Oryctolagus cuniculus: one gene and its partners. The protein of the gene in region 4 binds, or shares a complex with, the protein of the main gene of each other region. Links are inferred from orthologs where the notes say so. Each region holds a gene or a part of one and is shown on either strand. Other genes may lie near its edges.

Evidence for each region.
Region 1: the proteins of DNTTIP1 (region 4) and MIDEAS are in contact, whole or in part, in a cryo-EM structure (PDB 6Z2J), measured with the Homo sapiens proteins. The link is inferred for Oryctolagus cuniculus from reciprocal best matches to the Homo sapiens genes DNTTIP1 and MIDEAS. Residues at the interface, in NP_443183.1 of Homo sapiens: Pro63, Ser66, Leu69, Leu70, Ala72, Val73, Leu74, Pro76, Ser77; in NP_001036783.1 of Homo sapiens: Gln768, Asp771, Leu772, Thr774, Ala775, Ser778, Ser779, Ile802, Leu803, Leu806.
Region 2: DNTTIP1 (region 4) and ZNF541 share a complex: the UniProt entries of both Homo sapiens proteins name them as parts of the histone deacetylase complex. The link is inferred for Oryctolagus cuniculus from reciprocal best matches to the Homo sapiens genes DNTTIP1 and ZNF541.
Region 3: DNTTIP1 (region 4) and SAP30 share a complex: the UniProt entries of both Homo sapiens proteins name them as parts of the histone deacetylase complex. The link is inferred for Oryctolagus cuniculus from reciprocal best matches to the Homo sapiens genes DNTTIP1 and SAP30.

The regions. Positions count from the first base shown.
Region 1 is NC_091451.1:19,957,782-19,962,105, forward strand, and holds the start of MIDEAS (mitotic deacetylase-associated SANT domain protein), read right to left. Parts: upstream 2,827-4,324; 5' UTR 2,649-2,826; intron 1-2,648.
Region 2 is NC_091449.1:10,086,279-10,090,487, reverse strand, and holds the start of ZNF541 (zinc finger protein 541), read right to left. Parts: upstream 2,843-4,209; 5' UTR 2,736-2,842; intron 1,653-2,735; 5' UTR 1,508-1,652; intron 1-1,507. UniProt on the Homo sapiens protein: Transcription regulator which is essential for male fertility and for the completion of meiotic prophase in spermatocytes.
Region 3 is NC_091433.1:55,750,128-55,754,243, reverse strand, and holds the start of SAP30 (histone deacetylase complex subunit SAP30), read right to left. Parts: upstream 2,844-4,116; 5' UTR 2,506-2,843; coding exon 2,191-2,505; intron 636-2,190; coding exon 510-635; intron 121-509; coding exon 22-120; intron 1-21. UniProt on the Homo sapiens protein: Involved in the functional recruitment of the Sin3-histone deacetylase complex (HDAC) to a specific subset of N-CoR corepressor complexes. Capable of transcription repression by N-CoR.
Region 4 is NC_091442.1:13,590,814-13,594,371, forward strand, and holds part of DNTTIP1 (deoxynucleotidyltransferase terminal-interacting protein 1), read right to left. Parts: intron 2,098-3,558; coding exon 2,029-2,097; intron 1,825-2,028; coding exon 1,768-1,824; intron 1,520-1,767; coding exon 1,461-1,519; intron 255-1,460; coding exon 206-254; intron 1-205. UniProt on the Homo sapiens protein: Increases DNTT terminal deoxynucleotidyltransferase activity (in vitro). Also acts as a transcriptional regulator, binding to the consensus sequence 5'-GNTGCATG-3' following an AT-tract.

The DNA of each region.
Region 1 (4,324 bases), on a different chromosome or scaffold from region 4:
GAAGCCTCTGGTCTTCAACTGGACTGCAGGGCAAGCTCGGAGTGCAGAGGCTCAGCCTTGCCAGCCAGGGAAAGGGCCCGAGTGCACGTAGCCATCTGCCAGGCTGAACTGAAGATGCGGGTGGTGACTGCTCCCTAACTCCACAGGAGCTCGGCTTGCTTCCTTCCCCGGCTTTGGCAAGGGGCCGCTCCTCATCGCTCTCCCAGCCACGCGCCAGCGGTCTCTGGGCACCTTCAGACTCTGTAAGCTCTATGTGGACAAAAAGGATTGCAACTCATAGCTCCCTTTGCTTTGGGCATAGAAGACGACGCACCCCTCTCCTGCCACTCAACACTAGTGCGGGCTCCAGAAGGCCCTTGCTCAAGCAGTCCTGGCCAGGTGAAGCAGCTAGCCAGGGCCTTGAGGGTCAAGTTCAGTAATGACCCGAATGTCCTCAAGGCAGGGGGCTGTGCAAGCTGTGCTGACCCCTACTGCCCGGGTGCTTCTGTCCTCAACCTCGCTCCCGACTGTCCTCATCGTATGCTTGTCCACGAGTCTTTGGAGACGCATGGGTACCTGCTAGGTACTGTGCCTTAATGTTGGGATCTGATAAATGGTCGCTGTGTCAGTAACAAGCAGCTGGCACAGGGCTGCAAAACAGCGTCTGCCACCCAGATGAAGCCTGGGTGTGTGGTTGGAGAGCAGGGCAGGCATGGAGGAGCCCCGGCGTGCCTGCCGCTCTGAGCACACAGGCTGCCTGTGCACAGCTGTAGGGCGGTGCCACTGGGTCACCAAGCTACCTGGCAGGGCCGAGCGCTGCCCTGCGAGTTTGTCTGCCTAGGACAGGGCGAGAGCACACTGAGCGTGGGGGACGTGGGGAGGATGGCCCTGCGCAAGCCCCGCTCGCACTTCCCAATTGAGTTGTAAACCCCTCTACCACAGGCAGCTGCCCAGGAAGCCCTCAGGAAGAGCTGGGCTCCCTTCCTGCAGGGCACGTGAGGGCCCACAGCACTGGCCATGCTGCACGCCTTGCTCAGGAAGCTGGCCCAGGGGCTCCTCTGGAGAAAATGTCCATGAGTCACTTCCTCGCCAGCCTTGCCCCTGCCCCAGACACCGTCACAGAGTCTCAAAGCCGCAGCCAAGAATACACGGAGTTAGGACCCGCCCACGGAGTTTCTGCAGATGATAACTTCAAGGGTTGAAGTTTAGCCGGCCAGCTCGGTCCCACAGGGTCTGCGAGCTCTCTTTAGGAGGCCCCGTTGCAGACACCCCTGCATTTTTGCTCATTCACACAGCTTTCCGGTTGAGGGAGGGTAACACCCATCTCCTAGCTCCTTTTCCTGCTGACGTCACCCCACGTTTTTCTCCGGACACAAATAAGGGTACAGTTCCTGGGTCAGTGTTCACGCTACCCAAGGTAGGAAAGAGTGGTGGGATCCTGCCGTCCGGAGGCGTTCAGCAGGCTGTCAAAGGTGGAGGACAGAAGCAAGGAAATCAAACACCTCGCTAAGAAGGCATAGAGAACTTGGAGCCTGCAGCCTGGGCCCAGATCTGTCCTGGACATTGGCAACGCAAAGCTGCGTTTCGTTCGCCACCACTAACGTCTTGCACAACAGCCTGTGTATAAACATCCACGCCAACAATGCCCGACTGTGCAATCACGCCGTAATTACAGGCCGGCAGGAAGCTGCTGCTAGCAACTGCACCATTCTGCCTCCAGACAGCCCATCCCGGAGTCTCCAGGCTCCGACGCACAATTCCAGCGCACACCGACGTGGCTGGGCAGTCGCCGCCGCCACCGCGGCGTCCAGGCCAGGGCGCGCGGCCCGCCAGCCCGGGCTCGCTCTGCAGGGATGTCACGAACTTCCCAGCTGCGCCACGAGGCTCCCCCAGGGCGGCGGGAACTACCCGGCACAGCCCTGCAGCCCCACAGTTTTAGGAAACACACACACACACACACACGTACGCACGCACGCGATGCCACGGAGTCCGGTGCAAGCGGCTCTCCGAGTTTTATATAGAAAACACTCCCATCTGTACGTGGGCGCGCTGACAGTTTTTATGGCTACATTGCAAAGTGTTAGGCCTTAGCCATTACGGTCGGCTCCGGGCCGGGGTGGGGGAGGGGGCCGGGTGGAGGGGGCTTGGAGGGGGTTAAGCGGTGGGCGTGCGAGGGCGGCTAGGGTTCTGTTTTCTCGAAGCGCCTCGGGTTGTTTTTCCCAAACTTCTGAGTTGCTCCGCTCCGCGACACAGGAGGGCCGAGCAAATAAAAGTGGGGGGAAAGTTCCTTCAACTTCCTTCCCGCGAGCTCGCGGAGGGCTGCGGAGAGGAAGCACCAGGCGGGGGCCGGGGGGCGGCTGCGTCCAGCCTGCGGGGAGCGGGGCACGGCGCCGAGAATCGCTCCAGACCTAGGCCCCGGGAAGCCCCTTCCCCGCACCGCTCCCCTCGCAAGCCGCGCCCGGAGCGAGCCCTGCTGCAGCCCCTGGGCTGCTTTAGGTCCCGCGGTAGGACCAGCGGCGACACAGGGGCGCAGCCGGCGGCCCCCGACCCGCGCCGCCGCGCGACTCCCCTGCAGCGCCCGGCCCGGCCCGGCCCGCCACATCCCCCACCCGCACGGCCAAGCCCGAGACCCCGGCGGCGCGACGAGGGGCGCAGAGCTCGTGGCTCACCTGTGCGCTGGATCCGCGGTGGGGTGGCTCGGAGGGCCGCGGGGCGCAGCAGAGCGCGGCCCGCAGGCTCAAACTTTGTTGCTGTCGGGACGGCTCAGTCGTCACTTCCTAGCCGAGCGGGCGGCGCGGCCCGGCTGTGACCCAGCAGCTCGCGCGGCGGCGCGCGGGGCCCTGCAGCCGCCCGCCCCGCCCGCGCCCGCGCCCGCGCCCCCGGCTCCGCGCCCAGGGCCCCCGGCGCCGGCTCTGGGCTGGCCGCGCCCTCCGCTGCGGGAGCCCGCGACCGGGCTGCACCCCCGCGCCGGTGGGGAAGTGCGGTCGGTCGGAGGCGCCGCGCTGAGCCCTGCTCTCCGGCGGGTCCGGAAGGTGGTGTTAGGAGCCCCGGGGGCTTAGCTCGGGGGAGCCCAGGGCAGCCAGAGTTCCAGGAAAAGCACACACAAAGGGGTGGGGGGAGAGAGAAGAAAAAAAGTTGTTGTTTGGTATTGGGGCCAGAAATCCCGTGAGGACGCGGTTCCTGCCGAGTTTTCCGGGCTCCTGCCAGAACAGGGCCTTCACACGCGGGTCTCCAGCCCCTGCCTCCCCTGCACAGGCTCCCCAGGGACTGAGGGCGCAGGGCGCCTACCGCGCACCGCGCTTCGGGGGACCTCTTGGAGCTGCAAAGCCGCGTGCGTCCCGCCTCCCGCCCCCCCCGCCCCCCCCGCCGCGAGTTCCTGCTCTTCTGGGCGCTCAGCCCCGGGAGGACCCCGCGCTCGGGCCTGATGCCTTCCCGGTTTCAGCGCCGGCCGAAAGTGGGTTCGCAGGGAGGGTGGAGTCCTGGGAAGTGGAGTTTCAGGCCGTAGCCATTCTGAAATGTGTGCAGGCCCGAAATGCCTTTGCTCTCAGAGTTGAAAATTACAACAAAGGGCCACCTTTTGGGTTTCTGTAAGTAGCTAGCGCTTAGTTAATCGGCGGTGCTCAAGGAAGAATTCCGGATCCCGGAAAGCTGGGAAGAAAATGGGGCTAGCCTTTTGCTGTGTCGGTTGTTTTGTTTTGAAAGCACGCATTGGAAACTGCAGCGGAGGGCTTTCGTAACAGAAACATTAGCCGCCTTGTAGCCTGTCGTGGAAAACAGGGACCTTTAAAAGGTGGTTCAAAAGCCTCAGCGAGGGCTCCACAATTTTCCCTTTTTCCCAAATGCTGCTTCTGCCAGCGCATTGCCCAGATGAAATCTCTCCTTTTTTTTTTTTTTTTTTTTTTTTTTTTTTTTTTTTTTTTGCTACAGCACAGCAAACTGTAGACAAGAGTGCAGGCTTTGTCAAGGAAAGGTGGGTGTTACATGGGCGGGAAAATGACATCTGGAAACCGATCCCCAGGTCTGCTTCTTCAGACCTCCTGGGAAGCTGCAGATTGACCCAGAGATTTGGGAATGAGAGCCAGCCTCCCCTAGCAACGGGAAATCCTCCACGTGTGCTGGCTCTCACTTCTCCCGGACACTGATGGCACATTATGAAGACAAAATGTGTGATGTAAGAAAAATAACACGGCTTTGAGAAATAAATGCATGATTAGGTCCAGCAATTAGAAAGCGCTGACGTTTTTGTGACAGCACACCGTGGTGGGGAGAGGGAGGAGACAGAAGTGATTCCTTGGTGCATTGTGCTTAAGGCAGCCAAGGAGGAGAGACGGTGCTGCCCGGGATC
Region 2 (4,209 bases), on a different chromosome or scaffold from region 4:
ACTTCATTTTATTTTATTTGAGGGAGACAGAGAACTCCCACCTACTGGTTCATACCCCAAATACCCACGACAGCAGGGGATGGGCCAGGCCAAAGTCAGGAGCAAGAAACTCAACACAGGTCTCCAGTGTGGGTGGCAGGAACCCAAACTCTTACAGCCTCCCTGTGCACAAAAGCAGGAATCTGGGATTGAGAGCAGAGCTGGGACCCAAACCCAGGCCCTCCAGCATAGGATGCTGGGCGTCTTAGGCCAAACACTGCCCCCAACGTATAATTTCAACCAGAATTAGATGAATTAACCAATTCAGCTCCTCTGATGCTCATTAAAAGAGTGGAATTAAAGCTTATATTGGGGAAAAGGAAGACATAGACTAAACAGAAGGATACTAACTGACCCAGAGGTTAAGTGGGGGGGGGGGGAGTTTCTTACTTTTACAGAGAATGCGAATAAGTATTAACATCTACAACAGTAATCTTCACAGTGAGGTGGAATGGGGACTCCTCAGGACTCTCAGGAGCCGTCCAGGGAGTGGGTGAGGTCAACAGCCCTTCGTAAGAATACTCCGACGGTTCCTGCCTCTTGCGTTCCCAGTGACGCTTCCCAGAGGATGGCACCAGGAAGCAGAAGCAGATCGAAGAGTCCAGATCACGTTAGAGGGAAATCACTGCTGTCCTTCTCAACGGGCTTTTCCAAAATGTTTTTTTTTTAATAAAAATATCAGTTACATTTGTACGTAATGGGTTTATGATTGCTACTTTAAATCAGTTAATAAATGCCTTGAGAGTTTATTAGTTTACACCTCTACCACAGTAAATACCGGTAGGTATAGTTCACGTAAACAAAAATTCTCTGGGATCCTCAATGATTTTTTTAAGCCTTAGGGGTCTTCAGAGCCAAAGTTTGAGAAGCACTGCTTCAAGGAGACACATCTTGCATGTACGCATGTGCCTAAGCGGGTGAAATTTAACACAACAAAGAATCCTTAACCCCAAACTCCAAACTGGTATTCCATTCTTAGATAACTAAATATGTGGTTCACATTACAACCAGGTGTATTGGATAAATACAGGTTCTTTTTAAAGACACTAAAACAAAAATTAGAAAAGTTCACATCATTTTCTGGATTCTCCTCCCAAAAAAAAAAAAAAAATCAAAACTCTGCCAATGCCGGCCTGGTATTTCCACGTGGCTACCTTCACATTGGCGTCAACCAGATGGGGCACCTGATCTTCAGTTCACCACAAAACCTACTACTACCATCCTCTACCTTCCCACCCTCTAAGTATCTGGTTTGCTACCTGAGCCAGAGAAGGAAAAACCTTTTTTTTTTTTTTGGAAACAACAATGAGATATAATCAATGCAGTCAAGTTTGCATTCCCCAGAGGTCAACATGTGGATCAAAAACCCTTCTCCTTATCCGACTTCCCAAAGCAGCACCTTGCATGGGGCCTCCAATTCGTGTGAGAGGTGGGTGTCTTTGGGCAAGCCCAAAGGGAGGAAACTCACCAGGAGAGGAATGAGGCAATCTCCCGGGAGCGGCGGGGTCCAACTCGGGCCCTACAGGGAGGGGGTGCAGGTGGCTGTCAGAGCACTGGCTACTGCCTCAGAAGCCGGGTGGTCATGTCAGGACACTCATCCAATTTCTACTGCCCTAAAAACACGGGGTGGAGAGGGAGGCCCAATCAGAACTTGGGTCCCCAAAGAGACAAGGCCGCAGAGGTGAAACCGGGGGGTGGAGGGGGAGAAGGTCAATGTTCCGAAGAAGCAAGAAAGCAACACCGAGCTGGGGCTGTCTGGGAGGCGGCGCAAGGAAGAGGAAATTATTATTTGTTTCCTTATTGTTCCCCCAGGGGGATGGGACTTGGTTTTGTTGGGAGAAGCCAAATTGGGGGGGGGGGCGGGGGGCGGGAGAGGTGAAACTGGTGGCGAAAAGGGATTTTTTTGGAAACTTTTTTGGGGGGCAGGGAGGGAGAGTGTTGGAAAAATAAAATATTAAAGGAGAGAGAGAGGCTGGAAGTACGGGGCTGTTTAAGTGGAAAGATGTTCCCCAGGGGGAATCTCTAGCTGATAAAAAAAAAAAAATCGCTTTTGCTGGAAAGTGATCCTAAATGGACGGGCGGGGTCAAGCTTGGATATAAATACGATTTTTCCTTGGCCAGGGAAAATTCCTACGAGGCGTGGGGGAGGGGCACAGCCAAAGGCAGACCCCCCAGAGCGTTTTGGTTTTGCTGGAAGATTCTAAAGCGAGACCCAGCTGGGTCCCCTACAGCGGAGGGGGCTGCTGGGGAGCCAGGGGCTTTCAGCAGAAGGGGCCTGGACAGGGGGGACAGCGGCTGCAAGGCCGAGGTGCAGAAAGTGCGGAGGTCGGGTAGGGCCCGCGCGCGAGCTGGGGGGCCTGCGGGGGGCAGTTGGGGCCTCGGGGGCGGGGAAGGAAGGGAAAGGGGGGTGCAGCGGGCCCCGGGGCCCCCAAGGAGGCTCCTCCAAGAGGCGAGGCGCTGCGGGGGTGCAGCGGGGCCGGGAGCTGTTGGGGTGCAGAAGGTGCGTGCGTGACGCGGGCTACGGGGCGCCCGCCGCGCCTGCTGCGCCCCTCGAGAGGGAGACGGGCCCCCTAAAAAGGAAACACAGGAACGAGGGCGGGTGTCAGAGGAGGAGGGGGGTGAAATAAGAGGAAGGGGCAAGAAAGGGGGGCAGGAAGGAAGGGGAGGGGGCAGGGGCAGCAGCAACCGGGTTTTACCCGCCCCCGGGGGCTCGCGCGCCGGGCCTCGCGCCTCGCGCCTCGTGCCTCGCGGGGCTCCCAGCGTCCCCGCGCCGCCCGGCCGCCCGGCGCGCACGCGCAGCCCCGGTCGCCCCCGGAGCGCCCCGCTCCCCCGCGGCGCAAGCGCGCGGGCGTGGCTGCGGGCCGCCTCCAGCCGCCTCGCGCCGGCCTCGCGTCGCCCTGGCTGCCGGCGCGTGCCGCACGCCCGCCCGCGCAGACTCGGCGGCTCGCGCGAGGGGCGGGGCCGCGCGAGGGGGCGGGGCGTTGCCAAGGTCAGGTGACCCGCCGCGGGCGGGAAAGGAGGCGGTTGGTCGCCATTTTGGGAGCGGGGAATCGGTTGAGGCTGGAGAGTGTGAAGGAGACGGGGAAGGGGTTGCGGGGGAGGTGGGGGAGGGGCCGGCGCCCTACGACCCGTACGACGAGGCCGGGGACCTTCGGCTGCGGCCATTGTTCCTGGAGGGCGGCGTTAGAACGCAGTGGCGGTGGCCTGGTGCTTTTCCGCCTGGGGAGGCCGCACGGGGAGGGTTGCCGTGCCCCCCCACCCCCCCACCCGGGAAAGCTGCGGCTCGTGTGCCCCAGGCAGGGGTCGCGGGAGGCACGGAGTCCTGCCCTTCTCCGGGGCGGGAGCATGTGGCGGGGACTTGAGCTCTGCCGGTTTTGGGCCCCGGGGGAGGGGCTGCTGACCGGGCCCCGGAGCTTGAACCCCAGCGGCTGAGCTTGGGGGAAAAGGGGTCGTGCCTGAGAACTTGAACATGGGTGGGGACTTAGAGCAAATTAGCAGGTTGCCTGGGGGTGCGAGGGGTCTTCCGGGGGGCGATGGTGGCGGGAATTTTCTAAAGCTAGGTGACAGGGATGGTCACGTGTCTCTGTAATGTGCCAAACACTGTAGTGTTATCCGAGGGAAATGCGTGCCTTGTAAGAAGACCTCAACGTTTAAGATTGACTTACTTATTTGAAAGGGAGAGTGACAAAGAGAAAGGGAGAGGCTGAGAGCTTCCGCCCACTGGTTCACTCCCCAGATGGCCACAGGAGCCTGGCCCTGCATCCGGGTCTCCCACGTGGTCGGCAGAGGTCCACGCCCTTGGCCATCTTCCTCTGTCTTCCTGGAAGCATTAGCAGGGAGCTGGATCGGTGGTGGAGCAGGGACTCCACCAGGGCTTACTGTGCCCTCACGGAGGCCCTGATAAAGCTTGTGTTTTTGTTGAGTTTGCGCTCTAGTGCTGAGAGAAGCCATGCCTGGGTCAGACAAACATCCCCATAGCTTTTCAAGACCCAGAGACTGGCAGAGAGCACGCACCCATTGTTTCACAGCCCAGATGTCTGCACGGCCAGGGTGGGACTGGGCCGAAGCCAGGAGTGCAGCATTCAGGTCTCCCACGTGGCTGGCAGGGACCCGCTGCCCCCCCAGGATCTGCGTTAGTGGGAAGCCGGAGTCAGGAGCTGGAGCTGGGAG
Region 3 (4,116 bases), on a different chromosome or scaffold from region 4:
TAACATAAAACTCATATATACCTCAACAAGCTGTGCTTTATTAAGTCCTGGTCTGGTTGGTAGCTTGAAGTGTCTTTTGTATCTCCTAAGCGTATTTACTTGTAATTGGTATAAATCAACCTAGAAAAAAATTTACACATATGAATTAGTCCATACTGTTTTTTTAAAATTTACCACTGATAGGTTCAAGAACAAAATTTCAACTTCAGCACAATACAAACTTAACTCCATGGTTTATATATAAACACTTTAATCTTTCTGGGATAAATACTATAAACTGGTGGTGGTATTATATATTATATATATGAATAAAATTCTAATAGTTGTCAACTGAAAATATAATAATTCAAACTGTATAACTTTTATTAACTGGGTATATTTAACTTTGCTTTCATTTCCAGATTTCTCAAATGTTTTAAATGTTTAAAAAATTTCCTCAAATGTTTTTATAAAAATTTCAGAATGAACTACTTAGGAGTTACATTAAACATACAAAAATTTTCATCTACCTCTGGCGTGTCAATATCTTGAACAGGTGAATCACCTCCATCATCATCACTGCCTTTTCTCTTTCTTCTGTTTCGAACACTCTGAATTAAATTTTTATGATAATCACAAATGTAAAGATGCCTTGCCTGAAACAGAAAGAGTTCACAGACTGCTTATTTTACAGTAAAATGTTTCTGTGCATTAATACACACATAGGCCACAGGGAATTATTGAAAACAGTCAAAACAAGCCATTGGTAAGACAAGAGTATGTTTCTAGTCTTAAATCCTAGGCCTTGTTAAACCAGATGTCTGGCAATACAGAGCGGAGTGGGAGGAGGAAGAGTGTAGTGCCACTTGGGGGAGGGACAGAGGCAGAAAAAGGAGAATGAGAAATTCCAGTCCTCTGGGTTTTGTCATCAAATTGCAAAGGTTGACCTGAATTAGTTATTTCAGGCTGGATTTTTAACTGGCAAGGGAGAAGATGATGTTGACCACAATTCTGTTACCTGATAGTATTTTCCGCTTAAAGAGCAAACTTAAGTAGTACCATGCATGCTTTCCAATCTAATTTACTACCCAAATCATATTACAGGCACAACATTTTCCAAACTAGCTATTAATTTTTATCCTATATTTAAATTTCAATTATAAATTTTTCTAAGTATTAAATCAATGTATTTGTATGTGATACAAAGTAATCTGAAATTATTCAAATTCACCTGAAAAGTTTCTCACGAATACCACTAAAGAGCTGTTTAAAACAGGCAGAAAATGTCACAATAAACTTTTCAAAAGCTTTAATTACATATTTTCATGAGAATTGTATAGCGACACGGAAATACTGGGCTTCATATTTTGACAGCTAATTCCTTAAAAAAAAAAAAAAGGGCTGAGCTAACAGGCTTGACAATTTTCAAGCTAAGCCTCAGTTAAAAACATGCAGGACGCGCGCTAGGTTCTGACAGCTTGGTATTCATTGATTGCCAGCCAGAACTCCGAAAAGTAGCAATGGGTGTTTCTAAAACCCTCCCAGTCGGTCAAAAGAACAGAAAACGGAATCCTGATGGCTGCCAAGCGAATGGCAAGACCGCAGAGGCTACGTGCTCCCACGTTCAGAGTAGCTGCGGAGCAGCTGACACTGCAAACACGGTGTACAGCCCCTGCGCCGCGCGAGGCGGCAGGGTGGGGGGATCTCGCTCTGTGTTCCGGACCAAGGACCTTCCTGGGTGTAAGGTCCGATTGGACTCCACTTTCCCCAGAGTAGGGCAGCTACTTCACCCTGGGGCCACACGCCAGCTCGGGCAGCACAACAAAGGCTCCTCCATTCCAAGAAGGGGTTGCCGGGCTGCAAGAAAACTACTCCGGGTGCTCCGTGCGACCTGCCCCTTTGTTTCGATTCCCGATTGCAGCAGAGGAGGAAGAGGGAGGACTGCGCGGGAGAGACGCATGCAGCGGGAGGTCGGGGGGTGGGGAGAGGAGGAGGAGGAGGGGCACCGCAGCGTGTGTTTTTGCGTGTTGGGGGTGGCGGTCGGAGTTGCAGTGACTTTGTTGTTTGCTCCCGAGCTAAGACTTCGCAAGTCCGCACTGCAGCCAGGTCGGGGGTGGGGGTGGGGGTGGGGGTGGGGGCTGAACCTTGCCAACAACCCGTGTCTTTGCCCAGCTGCTGGAGCCCCACAGGGGCGGTCCCGCCGTCACTTACGCTCTTATCCAGCTCGATCTTCACCTTCTTCTGGGAGATGCTCTTCTGGATCCTCTTGCTGAAGCTGGCGTTGCCTGCCGCCCGGCCGCACCGCTCACCGTCCTCCCGCAAACAGCAGAGTTGCCCGGGGCCCGGGCCAGCGGCTCCCGGGGGCCCAGCCGCGGAGACCGCGCCGCCTCCTGGCACCTCAGCCCCAGCGCTCGCCCCGTTCCCATTTCCAGCCGAGGCGGCGGCGGCCGCTGCAGCGACCACGGCGGCCACCGCGGCGGCTGCGTCCCCACCGCGGCTCATCTCCTCAGGCGTGAAGCCGTTCATGTCTCCGCGCTCCGAGGCGCCGGCGCCGACAGAAATCCCCGCTAGTCTCGCCGCTCCGCCTCTCTCCGCCAGGTCCCTCGGGCACACGATCCGGCGGCGGCAATTCACTCTGCACCCCAAGTTCGGCGATGGCCCGGCCAAACACGCAATGTCCCCAGCCTGGCGATTACCGTTGGCGCCGGAGAGTGGACAGTGCTGGGGGTTAAGACTCAAGAGTGGGGCAGCACAGGGACCTGGGACCCCGATTACTGTCACATGGAGACTTCAACACTTGGACCGCGGCGCCTCCGCCTCCCTTCGGCCCCTGGACCTGCGCAAGCACGACGCACCCCCCCCCTTCCGCCCCTTCCACTCTGCCGCGAGTTACCACGGGAATTGTAGTTCCCTACTGCGAAGTCGTCCTGAGTTTCGCCCTAATCTGGCGTCCAGTAAACTGGATGAACTACACATCCCAGCATGCATCGCGCCACAGCGGGCCGATTTTTTTTCCAAAGCACAGGGAAAACAGGAGTGTGTGGTTGTGGATTACGCTGTTTATTCTAGTCTCCTGTGTCTCCCTGGAAGTTGGGTGGTGTTTAGCTCCTGGAATTTCGCGGGGTTGGTGTTCAGAGGAAGTCAGCCGACTCTGAGGGGAAGCATAAAGGCGGGTGGGGGAGTAAGTGAGCGTGCAAAAAAAAAAAAAAAAAAGTTTCGGGGCCGTTCTGCGTGTGTGGTAAAACCGTTTTTGGTGAACTATGCTTTTGAGGGAAACCAAACCAAGGAGAATTCAGTCAGCTGGCGCTTTCCAGGTCTTTGAGGTCCTGCAGCTAACACCTCTGCTTGCCTAAACACCTCTTTCTTGCAGCAAATTAACGGGACGACTGCTAGGAAGGAAATGCCTACTTCTTGACAGTGACAGATCCTACTCAAAAATGCCTTTTCTAAATCCTTGTTCGTTCCTTCAGTGTTTCATTCTTAGGTGCAAAAAGCAGGTCGCTTCCTGGGGTAGAATCACTGGCTAGTTGACAGTAACTGGACTACTTTTTCCCTCCATTCCCAACCTTGTCAGTTTCTCCTCGGATGCCTCTGAAGGAAAGAGGCGTCTAGAGGGGCGCGGACTGCAGCGTTCCTAAGTCATTTGGATTGCTCCTCGGAAACTCCCCAGGGGTAGCTCTGCCCAGTGTGGAGAAAAGCCGCATTCTCCGAGCGGACTGCACGGCCGTGTGTGTTGCAACAGGCTCCTGTGAGCGCGCGTGTGTGTACGTGCATGTGCGCGCGTACGTGTGTATGCTTGCATGTGGGAGCGTGCTGGTGGAGGGCGGGTTTGGAGGAAGGGCGTGGCTAATATAAAAGCTGCGCATTAACTGGTAACAGCGCACCGGTTTAATAGTCTTTTTAAAATTTTTGTTGTTGTTGTTGAAAGGCAAAGTTACAGAGAGATTAAGAGAGGCAGAGACAGCCAGAGATGTTCCATCTGCTGGTTCACTCCCCAAATGGCCATAAGGGAGGGACTGGGCTGGAGCCAGGAGCTTCTTCCAGGTCTCCCACGTGGGTGCAGGGTTCAAGCACTTGGGCGATGCACTGCTGCTTTTCCAGGCACATTAGCAGGGAGCTGAATTGGAAGTGGAGCAG
Region 4 (3,558 bases):
CCTTCAGCAAAGATTCGCGCCCTCTTTACTTTCCCTCTAATCTCAGTTCCTTGTGGGATCCTCTCTGGAGACCAGAGTGTAAGATCGCTGTGGAATAACAAGCACGCAGCCCTCGCTACCCTAGCTTCTTTCTCTCACGGTGGGCCCAGAGCTGTGGCTAGGTCTCTGTTGGGACGGGGTCTCTGCCGTGCTCACATGATCATACCTTGGGGCCTTCCCGGCGAATTGGTTCACAAGATTTTGGCTTCCATCTGCTTGGAAGGAAGAAGGAAAGGTGAATTCTCCAAGGTGAGCACGAGAACTGGAGGAAAGCTCACTGGTGACAGTGAGGGTTCCTCACGCCGTCACGTTAGGCCTGGGTTCACTTCTTCCTGGCGACCGTTAGTGGAGGTACAAAGGAGAAAAAGCTCTGGACCAGGAGCCACTCCAGTGCTAGCTCTGCTGCCACACAGTGCCACAGGCAAGGCCTGCATTTCCAGGTACAGCTTTCTCTGTCAAAAGGAGCCAAGAGCAACAACTCCCTCCCTTTCCTGCTTTTACAAGATACAAAATTGCTTTAGGTAGGAGACAAATTTAAAGTATGGAGAGAGTAATACAATTCCATCTCCTAGGCTGGTAGCTCCATTTTAACTAGATCAGTGTGGCTTTATCCGCTTGATATAACAGACTTCCATGTAAAGTTCTGTTTGGAAAAAAAGATTCTGCAGCTTTCAAAATCTTTGATGATGGTCAGGGGTAGGGGAACGGGAGGGAGGAACAGGCAGAGGACAGTAAAATATGCTGTATGATCCTACAAGGGTGGACACATATCATCATGCACTTACCCAAACTCACGGAATGCACACAACCAACAGTGAAGCCCGAGGTCAGCTGTGGCCTCGGGGGCACAGGGAGAGTCAGAGTGGGCTCCTGACTTGTAACAGATGTCGGACATGGATACAGGGGGAGGCTGTGCATGTGCAGAGGCAAGGGATAAATGGGAAATCTCTGTAACTTTCCATTTTGCTGTGAACCTAAAACTGCTCTAAGGAGTGAAGTCTTTAAAAGAAATCTTTGAAAATAACCACCCTGTGACAATGTAGTCGTTTTGCTTCCAATTAACTGCATGGGTGTGAGTAATTAATTCTCCATTTTCTTATCTGCAAAATTATAAAATGATACCTTTAGAGGGCGGCTGTAAGGATGAAAAGGCAAGTATAAACGGGATTTCGATCGCTCAGGTCAGTTATGGGCATTCAATGTACACTAACAGTGAAACCACTCTGGGGTTTAATCAGGTTGGGCCAAAGTGTTCAGGGGCAGAAACAGGATCAAACAACTTCCTTCTCAGTGTCCCACCCCCCACGCGACTCAAACACACGCGTCCCATTTCACCAGGGAAGAGCTCTGGCCTCTTCCCTCCGGGCCACTCCCGCCCTCTGCTCCCTGTGGCTTGCACCACGCCGTTGGCCTCTACTCACACCATGCCGCCAGCTGCCCGGTCATTTGACAGGATGTGTCCGGGAGGCCGTCCTTTCCTCTGCCACAAAGAACAGTTGTCAGTGGCCTGATCCCGTGGGAAGCCCCACCCTACCGCAGGTCAAGGACCACTCGGTAGAGATGGTTTTCCTCAGAGATCGAGCGATGCTTGAAGGGGGCGGGAAAGCGAGTTTCTGGGCTTCTGCCTCTCGTGCCTAGAAAGGCCCGGAGGTGCACCGAGGAAGCCCAGCCCCATCACCTGGAGCCGGGGACCCCTTCCCGGCCGAAATGAGATGAAAAGTGGCTTACCTTTTTGGGAATGGGGCTTCCTCGATGGGCACACTCCTCCTCTGTCTGCCGGCCACGCTGGAGGAAAAGGGAAGGCAGTCGGTGGAAAGCCAGGACCTGGCTGCAGGCCCCCTGATGGGGGCCCACCAGACTCCCTGACCCAGGCCCCGGAAGCCCACCCAGCAGCCCTACAAATGGTGTGGAGGAGGAGAGGCGAAACCTCCCTGGGCCCACACATTTCACCTGCCTCCTGTTCAGGGACCCCAAGACACAGTGACTGACCTTTATCCCTGGAAGCTCATGGGTCAATCTGGGTACCACTTTTTCTCCATCTGAAAACAGCAGTTTAGCCTGAAGGGAAAAGAGGAAGTGGTGACGGTCACTCTTCTGGGAGGTAAGCATACTCTGCTTCCACTTTTTTTTTTTTAGATTTTGTTTATTTGCGAGGTAGAATTATAGACAGAGAGAGGGAGAGACAGAGAGAAAGGTCTTCCGTCTGCTGGTTCACTCCCCAAATGGCTGAAATGGCCAGAGCTGAGCCCATCTGAAGCCAGGAGCCAGGAGCTTCCTCCAGGTCTTCCACGTGGGTGCAGGGGCCCAAGGACTTGGGCCATCTGCTACTGCTTTCCCAGGCCACAGCAGAGAGCTGGATCGGAAGAGGAGCAGCCAGGACTAGAACTGGTGCCCATGTGATGCCGGTGCCGGAGGTGGAGGATTAACCTACTGTGCCGCAGCGCCGGCCCCTGCTTCCACTTTTAGAGATGGGACTGCACACTGGATGAGACTTTTTTGGCATTGCCTTTCCCTTGTGCACATTTCTTTCTTTCTTTCTTTTTTTTTTTTTTAATTATTTGAAAGGCAGAGTTACAGAAAGAGCAAAATGTTTTATCATGGGCAAGCCAGGCAGTGCAAAGAATTATACTATAAATCAGCTCTTTCGATTTTGATTTGTCCCTGCCTTGTACTGATTGACAGTTTCTTCCCCAAGATTGAGCTTAAAAACTCCACTACCACCAGCCCTTCGGTCTTCCTTGGAACCCCCTCCTGGCTGCTCGGCAGGAGGTTTCCAACTTGAGCAACTCTTACTTTCCTTTCAGAAAACAAAACGAAACAGATTGATTGATTTGAAAGGTGGAGTTATATATAGAGAGATGGAGAGACAGAGAGAGATCTTCCGTCTGCTGATTCACTCCCCAAATGGCTGTACTTGTTGGGGCTGTGTCAGGCCGAAGCCAGGAACTCAGAACTCCATCTGGGTCTCCCAAGTGGGCGCAAGGGCCCAAGTATTTGGGCCTTTTTCTGCTATTTTCCCAGGCACATTAGCAGGGAGCTGAATCAAAAGTGGAGTAGCTGGAGCTTGAATTGGCGCCCATATAGGATACCAGCACTACAGGTCAGCTACTCCAATTCTGATCCACCTTCCTGCAAATGCGCCTGGGAAGGCAGTGGATCAGGCCCAAGAATTTAGTTTCCTGGCACCCACGTGGGAGATCCAGATGAAGTTCCTGGCTCCTGTCTTTGGCCTGGCCCAGTCCTGGCTGTTTTAGGTATTTGGAGAGTAAACCAGCAGATGAATGATCTCTCTCTCTCTCTCTCCACCAGTTGGTCTGCACTTCAAATACATACATACATACATACATACATACATACATAAATTAAAAAAAAAAGCTAAGGAAGATTAGGGAACAACTCCACTGAGATGGTCAAGATATGGGACAGGGACAGGAGTGTGGCCCAACAGGTTCAGCTGCACGTAGGATGCCCGCATGAGGAGAGCGCCACTCTCTGGTCATTCTGCTTCCAGCTCAGCAG